Linked DNA regions of Drosophila melanogaster. The protein of the gene in region 2 interacts with the protein of the main gene of each other region in a pairwise test. Each region holds a gene or a part of one and is shown on either strand. Other genes may lie near its edges.

Region 1 (6,019 bases), on a different chromosome or scaffold from region 2:
TGCATCGATCATATCTAATCCCGTAGCACGGAGTCGCCTTGGAGCGTTCCGAAAAGTAGTTCTTGAATCTTATCTTATTTTGGCATGACCCTAAGCGTAACTTAGACTCTCATTTCAGACCACCCGATTCGAAACGAAATCATTGTCTCCGAAAGGCGGGCACAGCTCGGTTAGGACATTCGCATTCACACATCCTACGCAGATCTCATAAAGCATGCTTGCAGAAATCTCTCATACCACCTATCTATCAATATCTGGCGACTTCGAGTTCGACGATCGCTGATTCTTGCCTTATTTGCGCGGTTTAGTTCTCGGCCTATTTTTTTTTTTTCCAAAATTGCATCGAACACTCGCCCCACACATTAAAAAACTATAAAATCGAACTAGAAACCAAATTGGCATTGAAACATGCACACACATACCAGCATACAAACACACACGCTCCTTCTCTCACACCACCACACACGCATACACACTGTTTGAAGGCAAAACCGATCGAAACTACATCAGAACATCTTTAACTGTAGCAATTAAGTATTCTATTTGATCAACAAGAGTGGCATGGAATCAAGAACGCATTCTGCATACTAAAACTAAGACAGCAAAATGGCAAGAGTGAAACAGAGTAATTTGGCAAGTGGAAACGCATGGAATGGAACACACGCACATACCACACAACCACAACCACCCACACAATTCAAAATGGCCGGCGTCTGCAAAAAATATATATTTATCTAATGCATACGAAATAAAACTTCCCAAATTAGCTCATTGTTTTTGCACGCCCCACGAGAATTGTATGCTACCACAATCACTAATTTCCTGCGTTTTTCTCTCTTTCTTCCTCGCTTCCGTTTCGTTACCGCATTCCGCATCCGGCATCCGCAGTGGTTAACTGGAAGCTGTTTCCGTTCTAGTGAAAGTGTGAAAATGCAGCCGCATTGGGGGAACGTTTGGAACTGGCACGCAGACGTCACTGCCATCGAAATTGGAAGAAGTGTTTGCAGCTTAAAGTGTTTTTAGCTAGAATTTATTACTATTATACTCTGTACGAAACCCTATTGATTTGTTGTTAGTTCTAGCCGCAGCTAATTCTAATTTAAATGATTGCCTGTTTGCTGAGGGCAACGCAGCAGCCAGCAATGTTGTTATGTTCAGTACACGCATATATTATGTAATCTAATTTAATGCAAAATGCAAACAATTTTGTAAAATAGTACATATAATTCTGTAAAAACTTCATCTACACATGCACGCACTTTCGGCAGACAACCTAAATTATTTCTTGAGCCACAAATCAATCGAAAGGAAATTTAATAATAATCCCACTTTCCAATGTGATAAACATATATAATTTGTACACTCTACTTAACAAATATTTATCGTTTCCTGTTGGGAAAATGCTAGAAAGGTGGAGAATCGATAATATACTTACCTTGCCGCACTTTGCCTGCAGAAAACTCAAATTATTCACTTCATTATTGTAATAAACTTGTTAGAAGCCTAAATTCTAAAAAAAAAAAAAAATCCATCACTCTACGTTTACCTAGCCTAATGCTCTTTTCATGCAGCAACAAAATGTAATAGCTAAGTTTTAGTTGTAGTTAACTGAACATCGTATAATAGATGAAACTGTAAATTTATCACACACACAAAAGAAACAAAAGCTAAGTTAAACAATAAATATACAAAAAAAGATTTGAATGTACGAAATGGTGTATTTCTGTGCTTCTATGCGAACTGTCATACCAAAGTGCCTGAAAGTATGCTATTAAATGTGACCAAGTATTACAATTGAGTACAAAGAAGTCCACAAGTTAAAAGCATAGGTGATAAAATATATTTGCAGCAAGTACAGTTCCTAATCACTATCTTAGAAAGTGACACAGCGCATTACCAAAGTTCCAATCACCGAAAAGTAGAAAACCTATTCAATACGAATGAAGAATGAAGGTAGGGCAATCTCCTGGCAAGTCCAGCATGTGGCCGGAAATTAGCCTAAGGGGCCTTTGTGCCGGCGGGCATTAGGTAGCGATTATAGGTGGCCAGGTTCTTGACCAAGGCGGCCACGGATAGCATGCACACCATTCCGGCGGGCATCAGTTTTCCGGATCGGTTCCAGCGGGCGCCCATCAGCCCGGCCAGGAACAGGGAGGTGCCCAACTGGAGCAGGGGACGAGGCGTGTCCTGGGAGTTGAGGTGGGCGCCATAGCCGAGCAGGGCTCCGAAGGCCAGACCAGCACCCAGCGAGGGAATGGAACCTGGAATGCAGGGCGTTGCACAATCGGACATGACCACGGTCAGGGGGCTGGTCACTTACCCGCCTTGGCGTATCCCATGATTCCTCCGGCGGCGACCGTGGCTGCGTACACATATCCGAACCAATCCACCGGCATTTCGATTTATTTTGATTAAATTTCGGGGTAACCTTTGTTTTGGTGAGAAGTGGAGGTGTTAGTATGACCCTTCCTGCCTTAGTAGAAAGAAGATCCGCTCCGCAGTGCACGAAATTCAGACATCTGGCAGCACCGTTTCGCGGTCATTTTGAATTAAATATGTGCAACGAACTTCCTAATCAGAATATTTATTTCAATGTTTAGAACGCTTCTATTCGAAATATTCATTGCAATGTTTAGAAAGTTTGTTGGGCAAATATAAGTTAGTTTACTAATGTATGCATTACAAAAAGAGCGATGGTTCCTCTAATTTAAAAAGCCATTCAATACATTTATGTTTTTTTTAGATTTATTGCATTTCTGTCTGGAATTTTATTTCAAATTCGTAGCCAACATGTTCGTGAATTTTACAATAGACGACGGTGACGGTGTACACGGCGAACCACTCGCCCCTGACCACCACCTCCATTCTGATTACTCTGGTTGGCCTGACGCCTCTCGCGGCGGAGCTGACGCCTCAGCCGGCGCAGCCGACGCCTGAGCCTAATCACTTCCTGGCTGCTGCTGGATCCACTGTCACTGGGCGATGTGGGCGTAGCTGGTGATGTCGAGGAAGCGGGCGCATCAGGAGTAGCTGGCGAGGACGGTGTTCCAGTCGCTGGAGTTGGCGAGGTCGGTGTACCAGCAGCTGGGGATGCTGAAGGTGGTGTTCCAGTCGCTGGGGATGGTGAGGGCGGTGTTCCAGTCGCTGGAGGTGGCGAGGTTGGGGTTCCAGCCGGTGGAGATGACGCGGGTGGGGATCCTGCCGCAGGTGGAGAATCGGCGTAGGCAGTTGCTATTAGGGCCAAAAGCCCAAAGGCGATAACGAATTGGCAACGCATCTTCAGCTCAGTTTGTCACTAAATGGAGTACTGTGTGGATAGTGGTTTAAATCCGAGTATTTATAGGGATGATCCACTTGATTCGCTTTAATTGTCGAATCTGTGTTTGCTTTGAATGTTTTAGAGTACATTTTACGTTCTCGTCAAGACAAATAGATTAAACTCAATAAAAAGACGAGACTATCTTCTCTGTAAGCGCGAAAGCTGTTGATGGCTGTGGAAAGTTCTAATTCGTTAGTAATTAAACAAAACGGTTTTTTTTTGGATTGGCTGGCTGAACGTATTGTTAGCATGTGTGCAAACACGGTACATTGTTTATTAAATAGATGAATATGTATTGTTAAGCCTTTTGAACAGAAAGCCATATTTAAATAACCTCTAAGCTTAAATAAAGATTAAGATGGCATATTGTACATAAAGAATGAATTCTCACTAAAAGAAAACTTAGAACAAACTCCTATTTTTCACTTTCATTTGCAAGTTCCTAATCGATTAAGTTATCATCTGGAATTATGTCTGCACTTAGACCAGTTCCACTTGATCAACTAACTAGATCGGAAAATGATTTACTTAGGATTCTTCATTAGAGTATATAGTGTAGCCTTCTTCTTCTTTTCCAAGATGAAACCGAATATTGAATTTCTTTGTTTGACTAACAATTCGATCCAAATGATTTCACTTGTTTTTAAGGTGCCAAGTTACCAAGTCATAACTACGATTGTTGCTTTTGTGTATGCATTTATTTTTCAATTTGGACCATTTCATTGTTCGATCGGGTTAAGCCGATGGTTTATCCCCTACGTTGGCGCCTTCTTCCAGCACGACTCTGCTGGCGCCTTTCCTGCTGCCTCTCCCGGCGAATCTCCTGGCGCCTCTCCTGACGCCTCAGCCGCCGGAGCCTGCGAAGCCTGCGCCTCAGCCTGTCCACCTCCTCGCTGTCGGAGCTCGTGGAGGAGGAGGACGTGTCGCTGGACGTGGAGGGGGCCGTGGTTGTGGCAGTCGTCGATGAGGTGGAGGAAGTGGGCGAAGTGGAAGAAGAGCTGCTAGGAGTGGAGGACGAAGTAGACGTAGTGCTATTGCTGGACGGAGTTGAGGTGGAGGACGAAGAGCTGGGTGTCGAACTTGAGCTGGAAGTCGATGGAGTCGATGAATTGGAAGTGGGTGATGTGGAAGAGGACGAGTCGCTCGAGGATGAGTCGGTGCCACCATAAACGGTCGCCACGAGGACAACCAAACCAAAGGCCAGGACGAATTCGGGTCTCATCTTAAGCTCTGTCTGTTGAACACTGTACTCAAGTACTATACAGCATCCAGATCTGTGTCTGCTATTTATACGATCTATCTGGAGGGGTTTGGTCCAAAATCTCAATCTGTGCGTCGTCTTAGTTTGATCTTAACATGTGGCATTTGCGGCAGTGTTTTGTTGAACAAGGTGTGGAAAGTTCCTATGTTTGTCGAATCTACAACAGCAATGGAGCTTCTATTTGCGCAGTGTTATTTTTAGTGGATGTGCCAATACGGCTCAAGAAGAAAGTGCTTAACTTAGAGGATGTTTAATATAAGAACATTTAATATTAAGCAAATATTAAGTGCTCTATCACATTTATTGATGATTAAATCTTTCTTTGAATAATAATATGCTGCTTAAAAGAGAACACGAAGTGACTCTGCTTGCATTGTAGTATTCATTTTAGGAAAGCCAACTTGAAGGATTCTGGGTAGAATGGCCACTTTACCCTTCCTTATCTTACGAACTGATTGTTCCTATTGTATTTAGTTATTTTATTCAGAATAGTCCAATTACCTATTTTTGCTTAGTCACTTCTTAGTCAAAAACTATATTTGTCTAGTGCCTGTGCCGTAGATTGTTTCAGAAAATCAACAACTGCTTCAATGTTTAACTTCCCAACAATAACCTTTCCAGCTTTCCAGACGTTTTCAGCAAAACACTGGGCCACGTGCCAGATGCTAAGATGTAAACCACCCACGGATTGAGATTTTGGACCAAACCCCTCCAGATAGATCGTATAAATAGCAGACACAGATCTGGATGCTGTATAGTACTTGAGTACAGTGTTCAACAGACAGAGCTTAAGATGAGACCCGAATTCGTCCTGGCCTTTGGTTTGGTTGTCCTCGTGGCGACCGTTTATGGTGGCACCGACTCATCCTCGAGCGACTCGTCCTCTTCCACATCACCCACTTCCAATTCATCGACTCCATCGACTTCCAGCTCAAGTTCGACACCCAGCTCTTCGTCCTCCACCTCAACTCCGTCCAGCAATAGCACTACGTCTACTTCGTCCTCCACTCCTAGCAGCTCTTCTTCCACTTCGCCCACTTCCTCCACCTCATCGACGACTGCCACAACCACGGCCCCCTCCACGTCCAGCGACACGTCCTCCTCCTCCACGAGCTCCGACAGCGAGGAGGTGGACAGGCTGAGGCGCAGGCTTCGCAGGCTCCGGCGGCTGAGGCGTCAGGAGAGGCGCCAGGAGATTCGCCGGGAGAGGCAGCAGGAAAGGCGCCAGCAGAGTCGTGCTGGAAGAAGGCGCCAACGTAGGGGATAAACCATCGGCTTAACCCGATCGAACAATGAAATGGTCCAAATTGAAAAATAAATGCATACACAAAAGCAACAATCGTAGTTATGACTTGGTAACTTGGCACCTTAAAAACAAGTGAAATCATTTGGATCGAATTGTTAGTCAAACAAAGAAATTCAATATTCGGTTTCATCTT
Region 2 (8,612 bases):
TCTCCTGGTACGTGGAGCAGTGCATGTAGTCCGCTTTGCAGCTGCCCAATCGGGTGCTGACCAATCCGCGGTTCTTGTAGTAGGCATCCCAGTTCATTAGCTCTTCCACCGGCTTCTCCTTCTTCTCCACCGGCTCTGGCTTGCACTCGTACTTCTCCATCCTGGCCGGTTAGCAATCGATATAGGGTCGTCCACGAGTCTAAAATTTTTCTTGCACAAATAATTTTAAAAAAGCGCACGGGCTACGTCACGAGAATTCACATAAAAGTAAGCAATTTATAGATAACTTGAGCCTGAAGCGATCGACCTGAACTATCAATAGAGAATGAGCTGTGTTCAAGAATCGGACTGTAATGACCAGGTGAAGTAGAACTCACGGCATCCTGGGTTACATAGAACCACATTGGCATAGAATGACATACCAACACATTGTTTTAATAAATCTATGACTATGACTATGTTATTCAATTCATGCCAAAAGGGATAAAACCAATTCATTTATGTGGAATTCTTGGAATGCCGAAACCGTCATTTATTTAAAATGTAAAGGCTATGTATACTTGTGATTGCTAACATCAATGCATTTGGACTCCGCCACCATGTCAGTTAGACTTGTGCCAAGGTCTGTTTAGTGGGGTTGGATCGAACCTCCGGGGATCATCGTAGCCACCGACATTGCGGAAGGGAAGCTGCTTGCGTGGCTTCTTCTTGGGCGGATTTCGCAGGCGCGGCTTCGGTGGATCCGCGTGAACGTCGCCCTTTCCGTAGATCCATGGGAACATCTTCTTTCGCTCGCCCATCACGCATCCGCCGTATTGGACGAGCATGTTGGCCGGATGCGGGTACATGGTGGGAGCGGCCCAGTCGTGATCCACGTACTGGGTCTCCACGTGCGCTCTGTCCGGCTGTCGCACCCGTTCGGGCTTTATGACTCCCGCCGGAGGAGTAACCCCAAACTCGTACTCCCGATCGCTGTCATCATCGTCGCTGTTTGGGGAGTACACGAAGGTATCCGAGTTGTTTGGCCAACCACGCTGGCGACACTCGTTCTCCACCTCGTACTGAATTCGCTTCTTCTCAATGTGACTCCGGCAAAAGCAACTGGCCACCGGCCGGCGACAAGTGCAGGGGGCAAATCCCTTGTCCTGAAGATTCACTCTCATCTGGCGGAGTCCTGCTGCCATGGGATCCTTGGTAATACGAAAGACAACGGGCTTCATATCCGCATAAGGGTTGGCACTGGAGGCCAGGGCCTTGGGATCCTTTAATGGACGCAAGGTGATGATGTACTCATCTCCCTTCCGACTTATGTGCAGCGTTGGATGCTGCACTAGTGGCTCCTCCAGCTCCTCGACCCTGCGGCACTTTTTGTGTCGGTAGTGGTAACGCGAAAGGCAAATATTATCCGCAGGAAAGTCCTTTAGAAAGTAGGACATTAGTTGTCGGATGGGTCGAGAAATGGCTCCTGGGCGCCACGACTTGTGGCGCGCCATCTCGCTTTTGGTCCACATCCAACCCATGTGACAGGGAATCCTGCTGTAGCCCGTATGCTTGCTGCCCGAAATGCAGTCCAGATGCCCGATACGGGAGTCTTTGGATACCGTCTTCAGCTTCAAGAAGGTGTAGCTGCAAGATGAGAGTCTAATCTATCTGAACGCAATGTAGGTTTCATATCTCACCATCGGGACTTTTTGTGGTGGGTGCGCTCCTTCTTTATCCGCATTTTGGCTGGCTTGGGATAGGCCTTGTCAATCTCGTCCAGTGTCTTCTGCAGCGCCTTCCTGGCCTTCCTGCGGGCCTTGGCCGACTTGGTGTTACGGCAGGCTGCATCGCACTCCTTCCTCAGCTCCTCGGCCACCACGTCCGCCTCGTTGGCTCCCTTCTTCTTGCCGAACATATTCCGCATCTCCGTGAAGATGGAGATCAGTTGGGTACGACGAAGTGATTCGTCCGAGTTGGCTTGGTTCACCTTCTTGCTTTCCGGTTGTGATTTGCTTGGAGCTTGCGGATAAGCCTGTGGGAGTGGCTCAATCTTGCACTCATTTTCCTTAAAAAAGTTGTCGCAGAGCTTCCGGATGCGGCATCGAGTGCAGGGTTTCCCGCCCAAGCAGCCACATTGCTGCGGAACATTGGGATCATCCTTGTTCTTGTCGCCCATGGCTTCATCATCACCTTTGGACGGGTCCAGTTCACAGGTCTCCTTGCGCAGGCAGTCCCTTAGCAATTGCTGGGCAGTTGCCGTAAGATCGTAGGGCTGCTCGCTGGGCTGTATGTCCTCGAAGGTTTTGTAGCCACAGTAGGGACAGGCGGAGATCTTGGGCAGCCAACTGATGTCCGAACGGCAGAGCTGGCAGAGATTCGGTGGCTTGTAGGCCTCCTGTGTTAAAACAGGCTCTTTTACAGGACAGGTGCCCATGAGTCTTCGACGAGCAGCCCGCTCCATGGAGGCAGTCAAGGATATGGCCTTTCTCTTTCTAGGAGGCTTTTCCGCTGTGAACTCATTGGTGTCACAGGAGGAAGTATCTGTGCTGGAACTCGGCTGCTTGCACTTGCAATGCCAACGACGGGACTTTTCGTGTGTGTCTGGAGGACTGGGTACTTTTATCTCGTCTAGACCCAGTTCATCGACGAGCTTCTTCAGAGCGGCCTTTTCTCTCTTTTTCTCCGTGCCAACATCCGGAGGTAATTGCATTCCTTTCAGGAAACACCCACATCTGGCAAAGGCACCGCCTTTGTTATCCTGATCCTCCTGATTCTGACTTGCGGCGTGTGGACATTGGAAGGGTGCTCCCGCGTGCGACATCAGGCGCTCATCCGTGATGCAGCTGTTCGTTGCACACTTTCCGGAGCGTCCCAGGGTGAAGATAATATCCTTTTTGTTGATCGAATGATCCACAGGCTTGCACACGTCATAGCAGCCAAAGGGAATCAAGCCGTGGCTAGAGAGGATTGTGATTTAATAGGAATACTACATTTCCCCTATCTGGTTAACACCACTTACTTTATATCCGGTGAAGCGGAGCTGATCTTTAGGAGTAGCTCCACCTCACCCACTCGGTCGTTCTTAGGCCCTTTGGTCAGTTGAACTGTAACACTCTGGGTAACCGAAAAGCTGGGGTCTGTCAGCTGGCGCAGGATTGAAGATTCCAGCGTGGCGTTGCCCGATCCTATGAGCTCGTCGTTCTCTTTGAGAGTGACGCCTACGCCCTTGGATGTCAATGCTCCTATTAGCTCACAGGGACTGCTGGTAAAGCCACCCAATGCCTCTGTGGGAAACTGATCCACGAATATGCGTTCCATGGACAGCTCCTCAAAGTCCTCGAACAATCGAACCGAGTAGACGGGCCTCCCACCCGCACTGAAACTGGCGGACTTGCGGGGAATCGGCAAACTGGAGTTCACAAGGATAACGTCAAAGACATAGTACTGCGTCATGTTGATCTTCTAGGGAAACTATCGCTAAAACCAAGTTAAAATTTTCTTTACTCTCTAAAGATTTGGCTAAAAACTTATTTAATTTGTTCTGATATAAAACTCCAGTCTGAATAAAATCGATGTGTTCAGGATCAGAAATGACAATAAAAAGCTCAAAAACGGAGAACTAGAGCTTGTCAAATCGATAATGTATCTAAGGCCACTTGGGTTCAAGAATTCTCAGCCTGTTCATGTTTTGAGAAAAACTGAATAATATTTTGTTGATTTACTAACCATAAATTACTTACTAAGCTAAATAACTTATCAGCTACAAAGAAATTGCCTTGTTTAGCTCCATATTTGCCAAACTTTGTGCACAATCTTCGAACACTTCGATTAGAAATGAACTCTGAGTATAAGTATAAAGTATAATAAGTACAAACTGTTTTCCTTTCTTATCTCAAGTTAAGCTATCTTATGATGCATTGCTTCTTCTTGAAGGCTTTTATGCAAGATATTGTCAAAAACATGATGCAAATGATTTGATTCACTTGTTAGGTAAGTGAATACAATGATTGCCTCGATTACTCAGTTGGAACTCATATTCCAAATATTTGCCATTTCGCATGCTTATCAGAAATTAAGTAATAACTTGTTCGGTTTAAGGTCCGCAGAGGTGACACATATATGTACATATGTGCACACAACTTTGGACACCTTGTCGTTCAACCAATCGCTCTAAAAATAGCTGAAATAGTCTTGCAAAAAATAAGACACCTGTTTGGTTTGGTATATAAGTAAATGAGTAGCGCATAATTATTGCCTGAATAATTTAAGATTTACACAATGGACTACTATACGTTCAACAACAAGGATGTGAGTAGCATTCTCGCAAGGTAACTATGAATTTGGAACTGCACTTGGTGGTGACAACAACTAGGTGTGTGCGTAATGCATTCGCGCGCAGGAGTATGGAGTCCTGCCCTCCAGTGCCTCCTTCGCGGGCAGTTCGCTGGCCGAAAGCGATCTGATGCTTGAGATCGCGTTGCTTACTGCCGGGCGTTGATGATGTCCACGAACTCGGGCTTCAGGGAGGCGCCTCCGACCAGGAAGCCATCTATGTCGGGCTTCTTGGCCAGCTCCTTGGCGTTGGCGGCGGTCACGGATCCACCGTACTGGATGCGCAGGCTGGCGGACACCTCCTTGGAGATGTTGTCGCTCAGCCACTGGCGCAGGAAGGCGTGGACCTCTTGAGCCTGCAATTGGGAAGGGAAAATATCAGTTCTGGAAGAGATTAGCCTCTGCGGGCGACCTTACCTGATCGGGTGTGGCGGTCTGGCCGGTGCCAATGGCCCAGACGGGCTCGTAGGCCACCACCACGTTCTTCCAGTCCTTGATCTTCTGGGCGTAGGCGCACATTTGGCGGGCCACCACCTCGTTGGTCTTGCCGGCCTCGCGCTCCTCCAGGGTCTCACCAATGCAGGCGATGACCTTGAGGCCCTCGGCCAGGGCGTGCTCGGCCTTCTCGGCGATCAGGGCGTCCGATTCGCCGAAGATGGCGCGACGCTCCGAGTGTCCCAGGATCACCCAGTCGGCGCCGATGTCCTTCAGCATCGCAGGGGAGATCTCGCCGGTGAATGCGCCCTTGGCCACCTTGTAGGCATTCTGGCCGGCCAGACCCAGCTCGCAGGGCAGCAGGTTGCGGGCGTACATCAGGTAGATGGCCGGGCAGCCGATGACCACCTCCGTGTTGGGGTCGAGGGCGGCCGAGCTCAGGGTCTTGGCGATCTCGGCGATGGACTTCTGGTCGCCGTTCATCTTCCAGTTGCCTCCCACGCAGAACTTTCGGCTCATGTTGTTGCTGTTGCTGTCGGTGCAATCGGTGCTGAAATTGGCGTAGAACTGCGGATCGGGGGACAAAACAAGGGGACTGCTATTAGAGTGTTTGGAACTGATAATTTCAAGTGGGTAACTCGATGACTGGAGGCTCGCCGTCGACTTTTCCACTCAGATTTTTCCCAGATTCGAGATTAATCCCGGCACAGAGCACACACCCACCTCGAAGTTCGTCTGCTTATGTACTAACCTTCTTTTGACCTTCGTAAGTCTTCCACTGGCACTTGAAAAGCTTTGGGAAAACAGCTGTGAATTTGCCCAGCAGAGCTTCCGAAACGACGGCTTTTAGTACCTCCGCCGTAACACCACCCACAGTGGGTCGGTTCTGGTCCATGGTGGGGATGGTGTGGTGGTTCCGATGATACGGGAATCGCTGGAGAAGCGTTACTGATGCAATGCACTGGATACCGTTCCTGTTCAGATCATTGAGTACTCCAGGCGGCATTTCTATTGTGGTTACAATAGTAAGTAAGGAGTAGTAAAAGTTATTCTGAAATTATATAAACGGCTTGTTGGGGTTTTAAAAATGTTGCCGGTTTTAGATTTAGCAGTGACTCCAACCATCTGATGGGGAACTTTGAGCAAGTGAGCTCCAATAGTTTTGGCGTCGCTTCCAAAAAGCTCTGGAAAAGCTTTTATCAACAGGCTTGCCAAAATCCGCTATACTAGCATATGTAAAAGAAAAACTTGTATACCCTACCAATAGGCATACATCGCATCAGGACTTATTTAACCAACAAAAATAAAACACAACATGAATGTACATTCTGGTTTAATCGCTTTATTTAACTTCAACTTTGAAATTCATGTCGCATGGCTTAACTTGGTTTTCACAGACGTTCAGGTATACATAAGCTGACATATACACAGTAAATACTCTAACAACATTAAACATATGTATGTACATAATTAACTAGTCCGTAGAAACGTATTATGACCATACACTCAAAATAAATGCGCATAGCTCCTAATCTCTATATTTCACTACCGAACTAATTGATTTAGATCCGATATAGAATTTGACAACGTTTCCGAAAGAGAGCCTAAGAGAGCTGGAAAGTACTTAACGTAAAAGCTTTGACTTGCGAGTATTTCCTCAGGGGTCACCCCTTACCCCTTTCGCATCCTTGTGATCCTCTTCCAGTGGACTTTCCTGCTGATCCCGCTTCTTTTCCGACCGCGAAGGTCAACTCTCCGCGCTGGTCGCCAGAAGGGACGGCGAGGAGGTGGTCAGACCCACTGGAACCGATTCCTCCTGAGCCTGGCCCATGGGCGGTGGTGATGGAGTGGGCGTGGAGGCCGTGGACGACGCCGTCGATGAGGTGGGACGGGCGGCGTGAGGCTGGAGGAAGTGAAACAAGTTGGAATGCTGCATGAAACTGCCCACCGATCTCAGCGGACTAAAAAAGTTCTCTGTGGGATGGTTGGCTGGCTGCGGATGCTGTGGAAGTACAGAGGACTCCTGATCCCTGCAGAGATTACTGCTGGGCTCGTCGTGGACCCCTCGTCCCTTAGCGATGGAGCTACAGTTGCAGGATCGGCTCTTCTTCAGCGAACTCCGAGTGAATGCCGTGCCCTTTCGATACTTAGGCTTGTGCCCATTTGAGCCGGGACTCGCCTCACTATCGATCACAAAGATACCGGATTGCTCCTGGGGAGCAGGACTCGCCGTGGATCCTGGCAGGCAGTGAGCGCTATTGGAGTTGCCAGCAAGCAGTTTGGCCCTCAGAAGAGCCGGAAGTGGGCCATTTGTGGGAGATGTTTGAGTGGAGAGCGGTCTCTCCCTGGACTGTTCATCTATGGGAAGATCCTGATTGTTGCCCATTGGCCTGGAGTCCGTGTCATCCGATCGCAATTTCTCCCTCATGACCAAAGCCAGGGAGCGACGCAGTTCCACGGGATCTATGCCAGGCTGAACGGGATTTGGAACAGAGCTGGCCGGCACGAATACGTCCTCAAACTCCAGATCATCATCATCTTCGTCCTCATCCTGGCTGAAACTGTAGTTGTGGTTGTCATAGGAGGCGGACGGAACTGAGGGCTTCGCAGGAGCAGGAGGAGCTGGTGGGACTGTGGAACTGCTATTTCGTTCACTGCTGCGCTGGGAACCCGGAGCGGGGGAAGGGAACTCGTAGCTGGTTTCACCCAGCTCGGCGCCACTGGAGGCCTCCACTATGTTCCACATTTCTCGCTCGAGATCTGTGGTCACCGAAGCCACGGCGGCCACCGTTTGGTTGATGTTGTTGAAACAGGGCGACACCACTCCGCACTTGGGCAGGAGCTGGGAGTTCTTCAGGGCCTCCTGCTGCTGCCTCAACCAAATGGGTGAATCTGCAGGGAATGTTACGAGAGTTATAGGGATTTTGCCACAGTTCCAAGGAGACAACGCGCACTCACACTCACCCACATAGAGGCGCGGCTGCGTGGAGCGCATATTGGAGTCCATGGACTGCAGGCGATGCTGACTGGCCACCGAGAAGCGGTGGATTGCCTCCGCCTGCTGATCAATGTCCACGCCCATCATCTTCAGGAGTAAGTTCTTCAGCGCGGCCCTGAAGTCCTTGAGGTGATAGGCATACAGGACCGGATTTACCGCCGAGTTCAGATGGGACAGAATGATGCAGAAGAGCGTCAGCTTGGGATGCACATAGCAGTCGGGACAGAAGGCCTTGATGCAGTTGATCGTATAGAGCGGTATCCAGCAGATCATAAAGAACAGCACGATAATGGACAGATTCTGGGTGGCCTTGACGTCCCGCTTCCTTGCGGCGCCCAAGACCCGCAGCATGGTTCCCGTGTGTCCACCTCTTCCGGGTGTCGTCACCTGCACCACGGCCGCCGAGGAGCGACGACTGAGATCGGAGGCGGGGTTCATCGTAACAATCTGACGGACCTTTAAAGTTCAATTGAAAACGGATAGTTAATATTCCAAACTCTATGGAATATATAAAAAACTTTACTGGCGAAAATCTATCTACCACTCACCTGTTTGATGATGACCCGGTAGATGTGCGTGTAGAAGGCCAGCATCAGCAGAGCCGGAGTGATAATGGTGGCAAAATAGAGGAAGACGAGGTAGTTGTAGTCCATCACCTCCACGAAGAGACACTCCTGGTTGTGATTGACATCGGCGTGCCAGCCGAAAAGCGGCAGGAAGCCCACTATCGTCCCGGCCACCCAGCACATGGAGATGATGACTGCAACGGAAGAGGAACATTGGTAATCAGAGTGCCCTGAACTGAAGCCCTTGAAGTGGAGCTCCCCCAGACGTCATTTGAGCAGATTGCAGGAATCCCTGCCGT

The links. The genes of interacting proteins can lie anywhere in the genome.
Region 1: the proteins of CG31029 (region 2) and CG11300 interact in a two-hybrid assay, tested with the Drosophila melanogaster proteins (one large-scale study listed by BioGRID).

What each region holds. Positions count from the first base shown.
Region 1 is NT_033778.4:23,749,207-23,755,225, reverse strand, and holds CG11300 (uncharacterized protein), read right to left. Parts: upstream 3,312-6,019; 5' UTR 3,278-3,311; coding exon 2,804-3,277; 3' UTR 2,731-2,803; downstream 1-2,730. Other genes in the region: CG5532 (uncharacterized protein), read right to left, coding at 1,999-2,261, 2,321-2,396; CG12491 (uncharacterized protein), read right to left, coding at 4,068-4,541; CG34105 (uncharacterized protein), read left to right, coding at 5,374-5,847.
Region 2 is NT_033777.3:30,128,779-30,137,390, forward strand, and holds CG31029 (uncharacterized protein), read right to left. Parts: upstream 3,618-8,612; 5' UTR 3,436-3,617; coding exon 3,002-3,435; intron 2,940-3,001; coding exon 1,680-2,939; intron 1,627-1,679; coding exon 603-1,626; 3' UTR 501-602; downstream 1-500. Other genes in the region: Ppi1 (protein phosphatase 1c interacting protein 1), read right to left, coding at 1-160; Tpi (triose phosphate isomerase), read right to left, coding at 4,464-4,670, 4,732-5,316, 5,501-5,755; AdoR (adenosine receptor), read right to left, coding at 6,497-7,641, 7,708-8,203, 8,296-8,507.